Linked DNA regions of Arabidopsis thaliana. The protein of the gene in region 3 interacts with the protein of the main gene of each other region in a pairwise test. Each region holds a gene or a part of one and is shown on either strand. Other genes may lie near its edges. The genes, in order: GAMMA-TIP, AT5G15240, AT1G22570 and NHX3.

Region 1 (3,744 bases), on a different chromosome or scaffold from region 3:
ATCATGTCTTGATTTTGGTCGGACCTGTTTGACAAGTATGGTTGAGACTTGAGATCTCTATTGCAAAACAATCTTACTGCTTAAAATAAGTAAAAGGAAAACAGATTAATCTTTCTCATTGGATCTTATTTTTCTAAATTCACACCCTTTGCAAAATGCAAATACAAAGCAACATAAAAAAAAGAAAAGCCGTATTCACTATTGAGTATTGATTGACTAGTAACCCTCACTGACTGACCCCTACAATATCATTTTATTCCCTTATTGCAAAACGCCAACCATTCCAACTTTCAAATTTTTACATATACATATGGTGAATTTAATTTGTCTTCTTCTTTTTTTTTTTTTTTTTTTTTTTTGTTAAAGATATGGTGAATTTTGTTAGACGTAAATAGATCGAAACTTGTATCAAATTCTAGTTTTTTTAAAAAATATATATAATTATATATCATATTTTTTTATTACTCATAATTTGTTTACTCATTTCTTATAAATTCGGTCATAAATAAAGTTAATGTGTAATAAGACTGATGTGGAATTTAAAAGTTTGACAAAATGGCAAAAAGAGATATTGCAACACTTGAAAACTTAAGATGAGATTGATACATAATTCACATTATATAGTCGAAATTGCAATGGCCACTCTTGAAACCAACGGACAAGGATTCATCTAAAAGATCGAACGATCATAAACCCCTTGATGATTCGAAATTACACAAACGGAAATTAAAAAGACATTAAAATTCAAATTCAAAGTCGAATAAAATTACACAAGAGAGAAAAAGAGAGATTAATTCAGTAGTCTGTGGTTGGGAGCTGCTCGTGTGTGGTGTTGATGAAGAAAACTTCGTAGATGAGTCCAGCGATTCCACCGCCGACGAGAGGTCCGGCCCAGTAGACCCAGTGGTTGGTCCATGTCCAGCTCACCACCGCTGGTCCGAAAGCCACGGCGGGATTCATGGAGGCTCCAGAGAAAGCTCCTCCAGCTAAGATGTTGGCTCCAACAATGAAACCGATTGCGATGGGAGCAATTGTTCCAAGACTCCCGTTTTTGGGGTCAATGGCTGTAGCGTAGACGGTGTAAACAAGCCCGAATGTCATCACGATCTCGAAAACGAAAGCGTTCAACACTCCTACTCCAGCAGAGAGACCAAAAGCCGGCACAGCCTAAAATTTTCAAAAGGTTAATTAGTTACTTGACAAAGAAGTTAGGTCCAAAAAGAGATCTAATAAAGGGCTAAAGGGTAGTTTGACATACCAAGCCACCGGTGGCGAATTTAAGGATGAGGCAAGCGACGACGGAGCCGAGAAGCTGAGCAATCCAGTAGAGGATACCACGGAGGAGAGTGATGTTACCACCAATGAAAGCACCGAAAGTGACGGCAGGGTTAACGTGTCCACCAGAGATGTTGGCACCAACTGAGACAGCGACGAAGAGTCCAAAGGCATGAGCCACTGCAGCAGCTACGAGACCAGAAGGAGTGGTGGCTCCGTTTTCAGTGAGCTTGTTGAAAGCCATGCCAGAGCCTGAACCGGCGACGACAAAGATCAAAGTTGAAATGAACTCAGCCAACGCCGCCTTTAAGGCATCGGGACGGGTGGCTTCATCTGGACGGCCAATGGCGATGTTTCTGATCGGCATGATCGGACGGCTGAGATTTAAGCTTCAAGATGCTAGAAGAGTGGGAGATGGATTTGATGATTTTTTCTGGTCTACTATGTGCTCTTACTTATATCTGAGGTGGCGCCATTTTGGTGACCGGTTACCGGATGATATATTATTAATATTTGGTGGAGAAATTATTTGATTGGAGCGGTTAGAGATTTAAATAATTTTGAAAACAGGCTAAACAAGTACATCGCTATAATTCCAGCGAAGCGGAACCGACCAATCTACGTGGCGGATAATGACTTGTCATGTTTGTACATGTATAGAGCTTTTGTCCCTTTTTCATATTCTCTCTCTCGAATGATCGATAGTTCTAGAGGAAAATAATACGATTTTATTCTTGTTTTTCTCCAACTATTTTGCTAAGAGGTTTTTACTTGATTAGTGGTAGAATTTAGTCTTGATATATGTGTGGTAAAAATACTCAACTGAGTATACGGAGCAAGCTCCAAAACAAAAATTATAACTAAAGATGGTTACTAAAAATATTTCATATCTAATCTATAGTCATTTGTTTCTTCCTTACTTATAATCTGTCGTTGTTTTTTTGTTATAATGTCGTTGTTTTCTCTTGGGTCTTTATTCTCGAAACATAAATAATTCTGTGTAGATAAGTCACGGCTAGTTTTATGAATTTGATATTCGTATAGTGACATTACATGCTAACCATAAGTTATGATATTTTTTTATATTATCGCTAAGTAGAATTATGTAGCATAAATGATATTCAATGCCAAATCACTACGCTTTATTCTAATCGCAATTCTTTCAACTCGCTCTCCAAGTATACGAGAAAATTATAAGATGTTATCTTGTTTGTGGCACCAATTTTTCTGTGATTATATATTTATATTGTTTGTGGCACCAAATTTTAACATTCGAGACAATCTCACATTTTTTCACAATCATACAGAAAGATTATATATTTATTTTAGCATTTTATTTTGTGGGCCAATTATCTATTGGGCAAAAAGTATTGTGTGACGGCCCTCCACTTAAGGAAAAATAATAATTTATGAATGTCCTACCACCACGATGCAATCTGTCCCTTTTGGGCGGTTTAGGTTTACAATTCGGCTGAGAGGTACTGCCAGAAAGTGATTAATTTCCAAACAAAATTTAAAATGTCATATTATTTATTTAAAATAATAATAAATAAAAGACGTGATAATTTCGTTTTTCTTTTGTTTAATTTGATCTTTTTTTTTTTTAAATATAATACTACAAATTTTAACAGTGTGCTAATTTTTATTTATTTTACAAGCCTTGACAAAATAGTTGAACCATTTTGAAGTTTTTTGCACAGTTCGAAGTTCATACAACTGATCCAATTTTCTTTATATAAAAACAGAGCCCGCAGATTTATATAAATTGGAAGGGATTAAAACGATTGCTTTTTTTTTTTAACACATGAAACATGAGTCGTGTGTGTGTAGAGAAAATTATAATACGATACCAAACCAACTTTCCTATCAACACGGGACAAATTTGATATCTTTTTTCTATCATCTCTTTCAAACATACTGTGACCTGTGATTGATAAACATGTGAAACTTTTCCTTTGATGTAAGTCGTGTGATTTTAGAACTACCTAGATTGGGGTGGATTGTTAGGTGGATGATCCATTGTTTTTGCCTTTTTGGGTGGTTCACATAATGAACATTGATGGTGCACAACATCAACTGGCATGAATACTGCGTACAATCACGAACGTTCTAGTGACAATGTTCCAGTATTCTTTTACCAACCACATGTACGTACTTCTCAAAAACATAGCTAGTAGCCGAAGTATTTTCAAAACGCTAGCTAATCATCGGAATTCCTCATATATTTGGTGACACTTTATTGATTGGTGCATTTCCTTGTTGACTTTTTCTCCTTCTTATTTAAAACTTGATTGAGAACAATCATTTTTGGACCGTTTACCTTACCTTTGTATAACTAACTAAGATTTCAAAGCATTAACTATCTAAAAACGTTGAAAGAAACCAACCGTATACGTGGACATAATTAAGTCGTTCAGTTTTATGAACGTTACTAATCTGACGTTTTGAACCATGGTTTCTATTTAAATC
Region 2 (5,266 bases), on a different chromosome or scaffold from region 3:
CGACATTGGTGTCTAAACAGCAATTGTTCGCTAGAATCGTCGGAGGACTCGGAGGCAGAGCCGCCGAAGATGTAATTTTTGGAGAACCGGAGATAACCACCGGCGCTGCCGGTGATCTCCAGCAAGTCACTGAGATAGCAAGACAGGTACAGTAATTGAAACAAAATTTTCATAAACCGGAAAAAAACGGTGGATTTTCTAATTATTCTTATGGTTCAGATGGTGACGATGTTTGGTATGTCGGAAATCGGTCCATGGGCACTAACCGACCCAGCGGTTAAGCAAAACGATGTGGTTCTACGGATGCTAGCGAGGAACTCAATGTCCGAGAAACTTGCGGAGGATATTGATTCTTGCGTGAAGAAAATAATCGGTGACGCTTACGAGGTTGCGAAAAAGCACGTGAGGAATAATAGAGAAGCTATAGACAAGCTTGTTGATGTTTTGTTGGAGAAAGAAACCTTAACGGGAGACGAGTTTCGAGCAATTCTGTCTGAGTATACTGATCAACCGTTAAATACCGATGGCGATGTAAGAATTCGAATCAATGACTTGATTAGTGTCTAATACAGACACCTAGATCAACTCATGTCTTCATTTAACGTATTCACATTTTTCTCATTCCAAATTATTACATAACTCAAAAAAACTTCGTTAACGAAAGTCACAAAAAATCAAATAAAACAAATTATGGTATTGGACTGTTGGTAGTACAAATATCTTCCTAAACAAATACTCTATAAGCTAAACTTCACCTATTGGGATTTCAAAATCGACCAAAAATGTCCTTGACCGCTTGGTAAGTTCCGGTTATCACAACCACGATACCGGTTAGAGTGATTCCGATGAGCACCAATGTTTCGAATCCGAGTCTTTGATATTTCCCAGAGATCTTTAAGTAACATAAACATGGCAATATAACCGATGCGGATGCGCTCAAGAATGCTCCCACAAGACTCATAAGATCACCAAAAAACGGAAGAAGCAATGCCACAATCACATTGCTAGTAACTAGTATTGTACTTAGCAAAAATCCAGAAGCTCTTTTATTAGGCAAAACTCGAGAAAACCGGCTTCTCATTGCGTCAATAATAGGTGTAACCATGAGAGCAAACTTAGCTATTGGGTTGACCAATGTAGTCCATATCGCCACTTTTGAACTAAGCTTATCAGTAGGAAGATTCAAAGTGATCTGTGATTCAACATCTGATCCATACATTAAGTAACCCAATACCGCCACTGATGCATATATGAAGGTGCATATTGTGAAACATATAATCATAACCTGAAAATGTTAAAAAAAATATGCAAAATTATTAGTGTGAGTTTTGGTCAAGAATAACCTAATGATCCGTTATGTAAAAAACTTACGTTTGAGAATTGGCGTTTGTTCTTCATGGAAGTGTATAGAGTTGGGAAAACTGGATGAGCGCAATAACAAAACGCGTATAAGCTCACCGAAGTAGCGACTCCATTAAGTCGAAAGACCTCTGAGTCATTGTTCTTGAACCCTACGCCTTCAAAAGCTCCAACCGAAAAGATAGAAGCAAGAATAACCCCGGAAGCAAAGACACCACTCGCGGAAACATAAGAAAGAATCCTCATATTGTCTAACCAAACCGAAGGAAGAATAATGAGAGCCACCATGATGATGAACATTTGCTTGCCTTGGAATTCAAGCCCCATGAAGTTGAGTCCAACGTTTGAGAAGAGTTTGTTAAGGTTGTCACCTTCTAGGATCAAGAAACTAGTTGCAACTAGGTAAAGCTCGAGGTTCATGAAGATGGAGACGATAACACGTCCTGTGTTTCCAAAGGCTTTGTAGCCAATGTCCGGGTATGATCTAAGAAGTGGATCCATTTCCATACATCTCTTAATGAGAATGGCACAGTAGAAAGTTGTGATCGCTACGGTGAAAAGTATGATCAAACTTAGCCATCCTCCGGATGCTAAGGCATAAGGGACCGATAATATACCCACACCTAAAAAAAAAAGAGTTGATCAGAAGAATGTCCAAGCCTAACGCATATGCTAATTAACGTTTTTTGTGTTAACTATTTACAAACGTTCTTTTTGTATATATGAAAACGCAAACGCAGTTTTTAATTGAAAACACAAACGCAAAGAAATATTCGTGGTCTCGTTACCAATAAGATAATATGATTTGATTTTATCAAAGTGGTTTGTAGTCTTGTAGAAGAAGAAGAACACAAATTGAAAAGGGAAGACGTGTTGTTAATGTGTTAAGGTTTTGTTCAGTGACACGTTGTATTTATATCTGAAAGATAATTGGAATTGCTGGTTTCTTTCTATTTAATTATATGGACTGTTTTTTGTTCGTATATGGTCTAGTTTGGTCTAGTTTGGTCAGACGTGTTTCCAGTATATAATTAGTTTTTTTAGTATAAACTAAGTATCTAGTTTGGTATATAAACAATTAAGTACAACGATAGCGGCCAGTTTGATAAACCCATTATTAGGCCATTACCACATTTAGCGAATAAATAATAGCAATAGTCATTGAAAACTTTGCCGAATTGTTAATACTATAGTGTTAAATTCAGTTAAACGGAACCATCCTAACCTTTAATAGTCAGAACAAAAATGATTTGGTTATTTAGCACTATTGTTTATCAAAGACTATGAAACTGAATCTAGACGAAGAAAAACACAATTCAGTCTAAGTAGAACTGGTTTTAACTTGGTTATGATAAATTATCAACAGAAAAATTAAATAACTAAAAAAACTGAGGCAAGACTAGGAGGTAAAGAAACAAAATGTAGGATTGAAATACACACCAATCTAGATGATACAAGATAAAGTCAAAAGCTTGAGTTAAAAACATGCATCTATAGAAATTAAGTACAATAAAGCTAATTATAGTTTTTTCTAGATTATTTTGAAAATTAAGATATATCCTATCCATATATGTGGACATGCTAAGAGTTGGATCTTTCCCCGTGAGTTATGGAGTTTGGAGATAAGAAGAAGTGGTGAATAAATCAAAAAGAAAAAATCAATCACGAAAATGAAAATAGAAAAAAAAAAAAAGAAGAAGAAGAGGAAATTAAACCTGATAAGGCGTTAATGCCATGGAAACAAGTCTTGGAGAAAGAAGTATTGCCCTGTGGATTATAATCATCAAGCAATGATTCTTCATCATCAATCTTCTTAACGATAAATGGCTCCGACATGTAATCTTTGTCCTCGCTCATACTTGTTTAGTCTTTGACTCTGCTCTTTGGATATCGAAGAGACAAAGAGAGAGAGACGGAGAGATCGAGAGACGAAGGAAATAGATAGAGAGAAGTTGGAACTTGGAAGTAAACAATAAAGAAACCCTCAAAAGGCAATATATATAGTGTTAATACATTTACTAGGGTCAATGTTTTTAAATTACATCAATTATTAGAGCTGATTTTTATGCAGTATCCATGCACATATGATATCTACACGATATTAGCGTGGCAGTGGAATTCTATTTAATGTTTATTGACCAATTAAATATTCGTGGATGGGGTTTTTAGAAACTAATTGAAATTTAAGTGCAACTCTTTATATAGAAAAAAATTATAACCACTTACACACAAATCTACCATAATTTGCGATTTGTGTGGTTCTAGAATTTAATGTTAGTTGTATAAGAAAATTGGTAGGAAGAGAGAAAATAAAACTCCACGAAGTTTTCCACTTTAATGTTAGGGCGTTTAACTTAGGTGATAGAGAGAATGCAAGTACCAAATCCTCTTTCGGTGAAGACTGAAGAGGGATCAAATTTTCATAAAAATACATGGTCCAAAGTAGTATATCATGTCAATAATCTGTTGGACGAGACTGGAGCACTTGAAAAATCGTCACATATTTTTTTGTTGTCGTTTGTTAAAAATAGTTGACAAGTGAATCCCCAGACCTAAAGAGTAGATAAGTATGAATAGCCTTGATCTGACGTAAATCAATATCTTGACGCTAGTTTACAGTTATGTTCTACAAGGTGCCGAGTAGTTCTAACAATAATGAAAATATCGACATATATATCTATATATTTTCGTTACTATTAAAACCATACTGCAAATTTTTTACAGTTATCCAATATGTTTTCATTCAGAAATCGAAACCAAAAACTTTTATAGGTTACAAAATGAGTTCTTTAGAAAAGAAGAATACTCATTGCCGGCCATTTCCCCATGTTGTGCTTGTGAAAAAATAGCATGCACATGTTGATAAAAAAAAAAAGTATCTTCTTCAAGATCACCATTCAAAATGCATGTGAGATGTCTAACAAAGAGAGCTAAATTGAGCTTTGTTGTTAATGCTAATAACTATAGTTGTACTCCAAACCTCATATTTCTTGTCGATTAATGTCAATATATAAGGCATTATTAAGAGTATTTATTGATACGTAGGGTAATGAACGGGTAAAACGTTTATAAGTTTGTGGTTCATATCATTGCACCGATTGTAAAATATCGTTGTCGTTATTTATTTCCAACTGCCCAAAGCCCAAGTCTTGTATAAAAGAAGATTGCGGCAAAAAGCAATCGCGTTAGAACACGTGATTTTGTAAAAAGCTTGGAAAAATCAATAATGGGCTTTTTAGTACTGGGCCGAGAGACCCAATGTCACTCTTTTCTACATATGCATACTTCTTTCGCAGGAATTTTTTAAATTGTATTATTTGGTTTGCCTTACCCTTTATAGTATTACTATTTTCGAAATGGAAAATATCTTTTTTTTTGGTGGATGAATGGGAAAATATCTTTAGAAACACAAGTATTCATGAAAAATATCATTCATAGGGCCACTCTCATTTTTTTTAGGATTTAGAACAAAATCCGAAAAGGAGTGACATAACATTACAACATTAGGAATAAAGTAGATAAAACATTGATCAAAGGAAATTTAGTTATAGTTGAAAATTTTTATTATAAAAAGGGAACGAAGGGAGATTTTTTCAAGGGCATTTTGGTCCACCCTCTTGAGTTTTCCAGTTGTTGTAGCAGGAGCAAACTTGTTTGTTCCCATAGTAACCCGGAGGCACACAGAGACACTTCCTGCAGCATTTGTTGCAGAACGTAATGCAAGCCTTGTGGTACTGTGTCTTTTTACACCTCCTATCACATTCCGATGGGCATTCTGGTTGTTTCAAATACAAACAATATCAAAATGTTAACACTCAAAAATTTTTTATTACTAATAAAAACAACAGAATCTAGTGGAAATTCATTAGCTTTTTTTTTTACTGTTTTGTGGGTCTCAAGATAGTGG
Region 3 (4,585 bases):
AATAAACACGATAAATTAATAAATTTTGTCGGTCCCAAGTTGGGCCAATATAAAAATTAATCAAAATCGATAAAATAATAAGATAATAATTTTTTTAAAATCCCTATGTAAAATTATAGTCCCAATAATATTATAAATTAATAATCATAGATCTTAAGTATATATCTTAAGACTAATTTTTATATGAAATTTTTGTTCAAACTAACTCTTTTTAAAATACAACTGATATGATCTCTGTTGTACTCACATAACTATTTGCGTATTTGATCCGTCATAGTTGATTTTGTAAAATCTTTTATTTGAGAAAGCATTGTTATGATTTGTGTAAAGAGAAACTGGATTAACTTTCATGTTTACGTTTACGTTCACGTTAATGTCGTAGATATACAGATACAAATCTTGACGAAAATAAATTAAAAAAGTCAAATTAAAATAAAAACCTAACATAATTATATATGCAAACAACAAAGCATATAGAAAATTACATTAAAAAATATTTTTAAAAGAATATAGTATTGTACTTTACGTAAATATTTCTATAAATTAATATTTATTAACTTATACGATAAATTAATATTTATTAATTTAGAGGATAAATTAATATCACTATAAATTAATAAAATTTCATGGTCTCACCATTATTAATTTATAGAGTTTCTACTGTAATACTCTGAATTCTTCTTACCAAAAAAAAAAAAAAACTAGTACTCTGAATTCTTAGACTTGGTCTAGCCGACGATACACATACATCTTGGAGATGAACAAGAACGCAAAGAAAGCAATGGCCGTGAAAGCAGCGAGCAACCAATAAAAGTAATCCACATGGGCTCGGTTCAAGTTAGAGTTGAACCAGCCGTCTTTTCCCGTAGCCCAATCAATCAAACTGATGAGAAAACCACTCAAGAAGCTTGAAAGACCCATCGCACTCAGAGAAAGCGAGAGACCAATGCTCCTTAGCTCCGTTGGGACTTGGTCGTAGAAGAATTCTTGTGTTCCCACCATAGAGAACAGATCGATCATCCCGAGTAGCAAATACTGAGGGACGAACCACCATATGGACATTGGAACGGTCACGTCCGGCTTGTCCACTAGCCCGTGTTCCCTAGCGATTTTTAGCCGTTTTGATTCTACTAATGCAGCGAGCATCATATTGAAGACTGAAAGCACCATTCCAGCTCCTATCCTTTGGAGCATTGTGATCCCAAAAGGCTTTTTGGTAATCTTCCTAGCTATCGGGAGAAATACACGCTCATATAGGGGCACTGAGATGAGAATAGATACACCAACGAATGACAATAAAGAAGCCGCTGGAATTTCTACTCCCGGTAAGATTCTTCTGTCCACCGTGACCCCTTGCTTCGTGAAGAAAGTTATGTACTGAGCGTACGGAATCGTGCTCACCACGTATGTGATCCATATCGGAATAAGCCTTACCAAAGCCTTCGCGTCATCCACGTCCCTACCACTACATGGCTCAACACCTTCTCTTGAGATCATTGCTTTTGCTAGGAAACTTGTCACACAAGGTAAAGAAATTTACACTCAAAATTATGCCAAAAGACTAAAACAAAACACAAAATATTCGAACTTACTTGAGCCGATCTTTACGTTTCTCGGACTGACCATCCTCCAATAGACCTTGATCCAATTCCAAACTAGAATGTTCTAACCTCAGTTTCCGATTCTTGAACGCAATAACAAAAACTCTACCGATTCTTGCAAAAGTGTTACTACTATTAACCTCCTCATGATGTCCCTTTGGGTATCTATATATCTTCCTCCCGAGCAAGAAGATAGCAAGAGCCATAACCATAAACAAACAAGGAATCCCAAACCCAAACGCCCAATTAACATTTTCTTGAACATAAGCGACCACAATAATCGATATGCTTATTCCCGCAGATAAACTCAAGAACCACCAATTGAAAAACGACCCTCTCGCTATTACCTCCTTCGGATCTTCAGCATCAAACTGGTCCGCACCAAACGCTTGAACACACGGTTTGTGTCCACCTTGTCCGATCGCCACCAAATACAGAGAACAGAAGAAAAGTGTATTAACCCAAATAGATGGTTTAGCAGAAGCGTCGTTACGTTGCTTAGATAATCCCATTATGATTAAAGAAGCTGATAACGTCAATAGTCCTAGCCCCTGTAATAATAATAATCCTCCAAATTCAGCTAAAATCCCGGTTTAAATCATACAAAGATCAAACCGGTTTAACTAGAAGAAGACAAAAGTACTAACCAATATGTAGATGAGGGAAGCTACGACAATAGTACGGTAACGACCAAGATAAGCGTCAGCTACGAAAGCTCCTAAAATAGGAAGTATAGAGGCAGTTCCCGACCACGTGTTCACGTTCACGGCAGCTTTCGCCGTCGATTGTCCGAGAGGTCCGGTGAGGTAAGTAATCAAATTGCAGGCAATCCCAAAGTAAGCAAACCTCTCTGCAACTTCCACACCTAAACAAATCATTTAAGACTGGGACTTAGAAGTTTAACTAGAAAAAGAAAAAAAATTGGATTGTTTCTGATGTGTTTTACCTATAATGAACCAGGCCGATCTCCATCCGCCGGTGGAAGATTTTCCGGCGGGAAATCCACGGTGGTCGACGGAATCGCTAACGTAATCTTCTAAGAGTGCAACTTCTTCCTCTGGTATCTTCATTTCTCTCACCAATAGAGGTTGAGAATCTCTGTGAAAACTTTTTAAAGGGTAAATGCCTAAATGAGATTTTTAAGCTAAAAGATCTCTTTGTCTTGCGCAACTAGTGAACACGATTACATTAATTTATGATATTTTGGGTAACTAAACTTTCTAGTCTTTCTTTTATGTGTATCTGTATATTTATTGGCATTTGAGATGAGTGTACTATACGCGTTAAAAAATAAGTATGCAATTACATTATCTTATTTGTATTTTTATTTTATATAACTTTCCGATATTATTGTATTATTACGCAATAATACGCATACTTCCTTTGGACAAGTGATACACGTACGAGCTAGATATTTGCCATGTTTTGTTTTGTATCAGCAAATTCTTTTTGTCATTTTTTTCAATCAAAAGTCAACATCAAGGGTAATTTGATTGATCACGACTTATTCTTAAAATTAAGTTATAAAAAACATGTAACTTAGTGATGTACAATTGTTATTTGAGTATAAATGTTGATAGAATATTTAGATGTTTTTGGGTTGGATCGACCAAAAATCCATATATCATTCAAGCTCTTAGACTTAGGCTTAGCTAACCATAATTTTGACGTATCATTTTATTTGTAAATTCACTTACTTTTTAGTCACAAAAGCAACATAATTGATCACTATTATTTCAAAATTAGAAAATTCGTTAACAATAAAAAAAATAGACAACATTTGTATAAACATTTTACATTTGTATAAATGCTGAGACTAAATCAATAAGTTTTTAATTTGGAATATTTATTATGTAGTTGTATATTTTTCTTTCTCCTACTTGGCTAGTGGCTACTTGCATGCTCTTTGGTCCGCTTGTTGCGGTGTTCCGTATTTATGATCGAGTTATTCTTATCTCCTGATTAGCTGTCACTTCATAACTTCTTTTTACTTGCAAGTTGCAGGGTAATATGAATGTATTTGTTCACAGCACAAGACTATACTCTCCACAAATCAGCAAAATACATTCTACACGAATGTTTCCTTTTTTCTCAAGCTGTGGTCACTAAATTTTATTTTTTGGCTAAGATGTTTGTGATAGATCAGTCAAATAGTCAAAATAATATTTGTTCATAGCAGAAATAATCTCCTGTATTTCAGTTTTGAATAGTCAAATATAGATTGATTCTGATAAAGTTGGAAACCTTATCAGCTTTGGACACACAAAAAAAAGTCTTATCAGATATGTTATCGCGCCAAGCAGATGAGATGGATTTTGAATGTTACTTTGTCTTTTCATGTGTAATAGAAACAGAAAAATTCGGATTACTCAAATTGTTGACAATTTTTCGAGTTTTTGAAAGTCGCATGCTTAAATTATGTTGGCAACAATTTTCAGCATACTGCTGATTGATTCATATTTGGTGATTACGTTTGTTTCGTTGATTGTAGATTTGTTTGTTGAAGACATTTTTTGTTCTTGGGGGTTGATGTAGTAAATGAATATTAAAATCTTTATATTATTTGCATCCACTTGAGGATAAGATAATATTGTTGTCTTGCTGAGGAACGTGTTATACGTGTAGTACGTGTATAACTTGCGTTCTCTGAAATCATTCATTTAAAAAAAAAAACCTGCGTTCTCTCCTTTCTTACTACTCTCGAGTCTCAAACATTCTCTCTTTTTTATAGGCCCAAAATATTTCGAAATCAAAAGGGGCCGAAATACGGGCCTAAATAATTTGTGTGAACCATTTTATCATACATGGTTGCTAAGTTGCTATGATGTCGTATCCTTAGGAGTTAGGATTGGTACTCACGCCTAGACTGAACGGCGTGACATGCGGAAGATCGATAAATGGCATCATGACCTAACAATATTGAAAGGATCGAGATATGTAATATCTTTAAGCTCACGAAAAGATACAAACAAACATCGAATAAA
Region 4 (5,638 bases), on a different chromosome or scaffold from region 3:
AGCTAAAAATAGAAACTTTGAAGCTTGTAAGACATGCATTGTTGGATTATCTCGCATGTTTATCATCTGTAACAACCTGAGTTGTCCCGGCGGCGACTTCACCAACTTCGACCAAAAACTGAGATTTACTCAGAGAGAGAGAGAGAGAGAGAGAGAGAGAGAGCTTTTTGGTTTGTGGGATTCGAATTTATATGATCGTTGATTATTTTAAAAGGGAAAACAAAAGAACTTCGACTTTTTGTTTTTGACACATTTTTCCACTTTAAAAAGAAAACATCAACTAAAATTTTATTTTTTTGGTTTTTCATAAATAAACTAAAATGTTTTTCAATGTGTCTCCATATCTTTATTGCAGACAGAAAATATTGGGAGTGTAATTTTGACTCAATTTTTTTTTGAGAATACAAGAGTTTAATTTTCATGGGATAACTAAATAAGTTTTATTTTAAATTAGAATATAATTTTTTGATTGGTTGTCTCCAACCTAGAGAAACCAAACAATTGTTTTACATATATTTGTGTATTTATTTTTTATAGTTATGCGTTCTTCATTTATTACGACCTACTCTCTCTTTGTTTTTCTTTATTACTACCTACTTGTTTCCAAAACCAGCTAAACTATAAGCAAGCATAATAATAAACTATATAATGCATGCAATTGCAATATACATGTGTCAATCATTGGTCTTGTTATAATTAGGATTAGTGTAGAAACGGCTATTAGATATCAATTATATCCCTGCAATTTCTCCCTTAATCACTCCTATAGTAATTGGTGTATATCTGTTTTCCTCTACGGTACCAACAAATAAAAAGTCTACTGCGGGGAACGTATTTGTTTTTCTTGTTTCCTCTTCTCTTCTCTGTATATAAGAAAAATTGTATCATTCTAGTGATACTACCCATTACCCAATACGCATTCCAATAATGGCTACATTTACATATATGATATATGCATATACATATCACATATGAGCAGATTTATTATTTATCTAATATACACATTATATATCCGAATTCTATGTTTTCACGTTAATTATAATATTTACAAGTTTCTTAATTTATATTATAGCTATAATGATACTAGTATCTTAAAAAATGTTGAGAAGGCGGTGGTGGATGATCGATTAAAAGTCAGGTAGGTCCTAGAACATGGTCGTTAAAGATTACACGTGGTGAAATAGGTCGCTGAGTCACTTTTTACGTCATCAAAACACGACCAAACGAAACGATCACGTTCTAGCGTCTTGGCTGTTGCAACCGGGACCGTTACTCAGTAGAGTGTTTTATTTCGATTGGTTCGAGTCTTCACCAAATAATTCGTTGTAATAAATATTGAGTTTTCAAGTTTCATAATTTTATATAAACAGAATAAAGAACAAGAGGTAAAAATAAATTAAGGAAAAAGAACAACAATTTACGCGAGTTAGTTAGACCCAAAAAAGAAAAAAGAAAAAAATCCCCAAATCCGGTAAGAAAAAAATACATGATGAGTTAGTTTTGGGCCCTAAAAAGGCCCAAGATGCAGTACAATTCCAAAAAGCCTCACGTTTACTCAGTCTGATGACGTTGGAAACATGCCACGTGTCTTTCGTCTCCTCGCCACCTGTAACCACCGCCTTGTTCATCGCAGTTCAAATCTCTCCTCACTCTCTGACTCTTTCCTCGTCTCTCTCTCTATCGTTCTCTGTGTGCCTTCTTCGTTTGCGATTGGTGTTTTCAAAATCGACGAAATCGAAAACATTATCGAGTGAAAAATGAGTATCGGATTAACAGAGTTTGTGACGAATAAACTAGCAGCTGAGCATCCTCAGGTGATACCAATCTCAGTGTTCATCGCCATTCTCTGTCTATGTTTAGTTATCGGCCACTTGCTTGAAGAGAATCGATGGGTTAATGAATCTATTACCGCCATTTTAGTAGTAATTTTCTTCAAAATTTCTTCTTTTTTTTGTTTTAGCTAAAGTTTTGAGCTTTTCTGCTCTTAAAGAACAATTTTATCACTATTTTTGATTGGTTTTGTTGCAAGTAGGGAGCAGCATCAGGAACAGTGATCTTACTTATTAGTAAAGGAAAAAGTTCACATATTTTGGTGTTTGATGAAGAACTCTTCTTCATTTACCTTCTTCCTCCAATAATCTTCAATGCTGGGTAAGCTTACTATGGTTTTGGTTACTATGTTGTGGTTAATGGGTTAGATTACACTATGATGGTGATTGACTGAAGATTTTTTGGTTTGTTGTGGCAGGTTCCAAGTTAAGAAAAAGAAGTTTTTTCACAACTTTTTAACCATCATGTCCTTTGGTGTGATTGGAGTTTTCATCTCCACTGTCATTATCTCGTTTGGTAAAAAATATTTCATTAATCTTTGAATGACTTGACTATATGATTTAAAGTTGATTATCTCGGAGTTGTTACCATCTCTATTTTTGTTGTTTTTATAATGTGAACCAGGGACTTGGTGGCTGTTTCCCAAGTTGGGATTTAAGGGGTTGAGTGCTAGAGACTATCTTGGTAAGATTTTTCACTGATCTATGTTTCTTTTCATTTCTTGTTGAGATGGTTATTACTTATCAGTTTGCGAGAGTGAATGCTTTCTTGTTTTGATTCAGCCATAGGAACGATTTTCTCATCAACTGATACTGTTTGCACTCTACAGGTTCTTGATTTAGAAGATTCTTTGTCTTACTACTTCTTCTATTAAAAGTTTTTTCTTACATTGCATCTTAAACTTTTACAGATTCTCCATCAAGATGAAACACCATTGCTATACAGCTTAGTCTTTGGAGAAGGAGTGGTGAATGATGCAACCTCAGTTGTACTGTTCAACGCCGTGCAAAAGATTCAATTTGAAAGCCTAACCGGTTGGACGGCGCTGCAAGTATTTGGGAACTTTTTGTACCTCTTCTCAACAAGCACACTTCTCGGAATTGGTGTAAGCTATTGAGTTGGCATAGTTTTTTACTCTGTTTGAAGCATATCATGAGTAATCTTAGAACTGTGAATGTCTTGCAGGTGGGGCTAATAACATCTTTTGTTCTTAAAACCTTGTATTTTGGAAGGTAAAAGTACACCAAACTTGCAAATTTTTCATCTCAAGCTTAAGTTTTTTTTTTTTAGTGATAAGATGTGCCTTTATATTGATCTTGTTATATGGTTGCTGACAGACATTCTACTACACGCGAACTCGCCATCATGGTTCTAATGGCTTACCTTTCATATATGTTGGCTGAGGTAATACACTGGTCATGAACGCTACTTTTTAGTTTTCATTTGGAATTGAAGTGCTGCATTTCTCTGTTTTAACTCAATATAGTTGTTCTCTTGCAGCTCTTCTCATTAAGTGGAATTCTTACTGTTTTCTTCTGTGGTGTTTTAATGTCGCATTATGCATCATATAACGTGACAGAGAGCTCAAGAATCACTTCCAGGCAATGTATCAGACAATTGTTTATTCGCTGAAGTCTCAATTTGCAGGAATTGCTTTTGTCTGACTGTGCATCTATATTTTGCAGGCATGTATTTGCAATGTTGTCCTTTATTGCGGAGACATTCATATTTCTGTATGTTGGAACAGATGCTCTTGATTTTACAAAGTGGAAGACAAGCAGCTTAAGGTATAAAGTCGTATCCATTTATCAGCTGGTAGAGCGTTTAGAGTGTTTTGTCAAAACAATACACAGCATTTTGATATGAACCTCGTGTATTTCTTAAATGCATACCTAGAATCAAGATTATCCCAAAGACATCCTCTATGTCTTCTTCTCTCTTGACACGAAGTTAATCGCCAATTAACTGTTAGTTAAGCTGTGGTGGTGACTCGTTGTTTCTGAAATCTCTTCCCAATGAAGACTTGTAACATTAATCATCTTCTTGCAGCTTTGGGGGTACTCTGGGTGTCTCCGGTGTCATAACCGCATTAGTATTGCTTGGACGAGCAGCATTTGTCTTTCCACTCTCGGTCTTAACAAATTTCATGAACAGGCACACTGAAAGAAACGAGTCTATCACATTTAAGCATCAGGTTTAGCTCTTGTTTGTTACAGTTACATTATCAGAAGCACTAAAATAAAAAATTAATAATGGTCCGAGAATGGGAAAGTTTCTGTTATATAATTCTCTCTTTGTATACTTTATAGGTGATCATTTGGTGGGCAGGTCTAATGCGAGGTGCTGTCTCAATTGCTCTGGCTTTCAAGCAGGTTTTTCTCTTTGCACATTCATATTATCTCTAATCTCTATTGTATTACTTTTACATTGAATTAGTAACATTTCCATTATATCTCATTTTGGTATATCTTTCATGTGCCAAGTTCACATACTCCGGTGTTACATTGGATCCTGTGAATGCTGCCATGGTCACCAACACCACTATCGTTGTTCTCTTTACTACACTGGTAAAACAAATACTACCTTAGTATATGGCCCTACTGGTTCTGGTAGTTTTCTGTGTTAAGATCAAAAGAATGACTTCTTTGTCATGTAACAAACAGGTCTTTGGTTTCCTCACAAAACCACTTGTGAATTATCTCCTTCCTCAAGATGCAAGTCACAACACCGGAAATAGAGGTAAACGCACTGAGCCAGGTTCTCCGAAAGAAGATGCGACACTTCCTCTTCTTTCCTTTGACGAGTCTGCTTCCACCAACTTCAATAGAGCTAAAGATAGTATTTCCCTTCTGATGGAACAACCTGTGTACACCATCCACCGCTACTGGAGAAAGTTTGACGACACATACATGAGGCCTATCTTCGGTGGACCTCGTCGAGAAAACCAACCAGAATGCTAGGTATACCCTCCATTATTACCACACAAATTTATACATTTTGCAGCAAACGCACCTCACTTGATCAATAATGTGTAACCGGAATTAATAAGTACATCCGGGAAGAGGTGCCTACAATATTCATCATGATAAGCGAACAATTCTCTCTTTTTGTGTTGCAGAATTGATCCGGGTTCTCCGCGGGGAAATCATGATGAGTTAGTTTTTTTTATAGTCAAGAAAGTAGGATAGTTGGTTTAGCTAAAACAGTTTCTTAAAGTTTTTGTTAAATGTATACAACAAGGTTCTTCTATATACACAAGCTGCGATTATTACTGCGAGTTTGTAATTTATTTGGATCGGAACATAAGACATATTGTAAGACTTCAGATCAGTTGCAGGACAAGTTCGAGTGAAGTCTGCTAGAACGGTCTGTCTCCATCTCAGTTCCTCAAAGCTGCACTTACAGAACAGCAAAACGTAAGCCTTTTTTACTTCATACTTCATATTGGGATCCTACTAGTCTACCGGTTTTTAGTATCTTAATGGTATTTTGATTTTACCTTGGCAAGCAGGAGGGATTGTTGTCAGGCCACATTTGCTCAGAAGAGCCTGGACTTTAGATGGGTAAACCGCTAAAACGGGGAGAACAGACTTGAATCTGCAGATGCATTTCAGATTAGCGGCTTGGAGGAGTTCACAACACTCTTTGATTGGAGATGGCGGGTTGTCTCCAATTACGGCTGGACGACATTTTTCCAGATGGTTTGCGTTGATGTTACATGCGGTAATGCTCGTAGGTTCTTCCATCAACACCAAGGCGGCTAAAACTATTGCAAGAGCTGCAAATTTCACAGTTCTGGTATTGTTCG

The links.
Region 1: the proteins of AT1G22570 (region 3) and GAMMA-TIP interact in a protein complementation assay, tested with the Arabidopsis thaliana proteins (one large-scale study listed by BioGRID).
Region 2: the proteins of AT1G22570 (region 3) and AT5G15240 interact in a protein complementation assay, tested with the Arabidopsis thaliana proteins (one large-scale study listed by BioGRID).
Region 4: the proteins of AT1G22570 (region 3) and NHX3 interact in a protein complementation assay, tested with the Arabidopsis thaliana proteins (one large-scale study listed by BioGRID).

The regions. Positions count from the first base shown.
Region 1 is NC_003071.7:15,443,388-15,447,131, reverse strand, and holds GAMMA-TIP (gamma tonoplast intrinsic protein), read right to left. Parts: upstream 1,839-3,744; 5' UTR 1,643-1,838; coding exon 1,259-1,642; intron 1,168-1,258; coding exon 796-1,167; 3' UTR 511-795; downstream 1-510. UniProt on the Arabidopsis thaliana protein: Water channel required to facilitate the transport of water, diffusion of amino acids and/or peptides from the vacuolar compartment to the cytoplasm. Does not promote glycerol permeability. May play a role in the control of cell turgor and cell expansion.
Region 2 is NC_003076.8:4,945,712-4,950,977, reverse strand, and holds AT5G15240 (Transmembrane amino acid transporter family protein), read right to left. Parts: upstream 3,402-5,266; 5' UTR 3,217-3,401; coding exon 3,075-3,216; intron 2,404-3,074; exon of another isoform or gene 1,983-2,403; coding exon 1,372-1,982; intron 1,286-1,371; coding exon 767-1,285; 3' UTR 568-766; downstream 1-567. Other genes in the region: FTSH6 (FTSH protease 6), read left to right, coding at 1-146, 220-567; GASA4 (GAST1 protein homolog 4), read right to left, coding at 4,953-5,134.
Region 3 is NC_003070.9:7,975,903-7,980,487, forward strand, and holds AT1G22570 (Major facilitator superfamily protein), read right to left. Parts: upstream 2,909-4,585; 5' UTR 2,672-2,908; coding exon 2,548-2,671; intron 2,546-2,547; exon of another isoform or gene 2,480-2,545; coding exon of another isoform or gene 2,467-2,479; coding exon 2,249-2,466; intron 2,153-2,248; coding exon 1,593-2,152; intron 1,514-1,592; coding exon 718-1,513; 3' UTR 522-717; downstream 1-521.
Region 4 is NC_003076.8:22,468,705-22,474,342, reverse strand, and holds NHX3 (Na+/H+ (sodium hydrogen) exchanger 3), read left to right. Parts: upstream 1-1,636; 5' UTR 1,637-1,757; coding exon 1,758-1,922; intron 1,923-2,032; coding exon 2,033-2,151; intron 2,152-2,248; coding exon 2,249-2,346; intron 2,347-2,454; coding exon 2,455-2,514; intron 2,515-2,612; coding exon 2,613-2,659; intron 2,660-2,740; coding exon 2,741-2,935; intron 2,936-3,015; coding exon 3,016-3,062; intron 3,063-3,167; coding exon 3,168-3,234; intron 3,235-3,330; coding exon 3,331-3,431; intron 3,432-3,515; coding exon 3,516-3,617; intron 3,618-3,879; coding exon 3,880-4,024; intron 4,025-4,139; coding exon 4,140-4,202; intron 4,203-4,313; coding exon 4,314-4,397; intron 4,398-4,493; coding exon 4,494-4,790; intron 4,791-4,948; 3' UTR 4,949-5,098; downstream 5,099-5,638. Other genes in the region: SVL1 (SHV3-like 1), read right to left, coding at 1-66; AT5G55460 (Bifunctional inhibitor/lipid-transfer protein/seed storage 2S albumin superfamily protein), read right to left, coding at 5,210-5,223, 5,330-5,638. UniProt on the Arabidopsis thaliana protein: May act in low affinity electroneutral exchange of protons for cations such as Na(+) or K(+) across membranes. May also exchange Li(+) and Cs(+) with a lower affinity.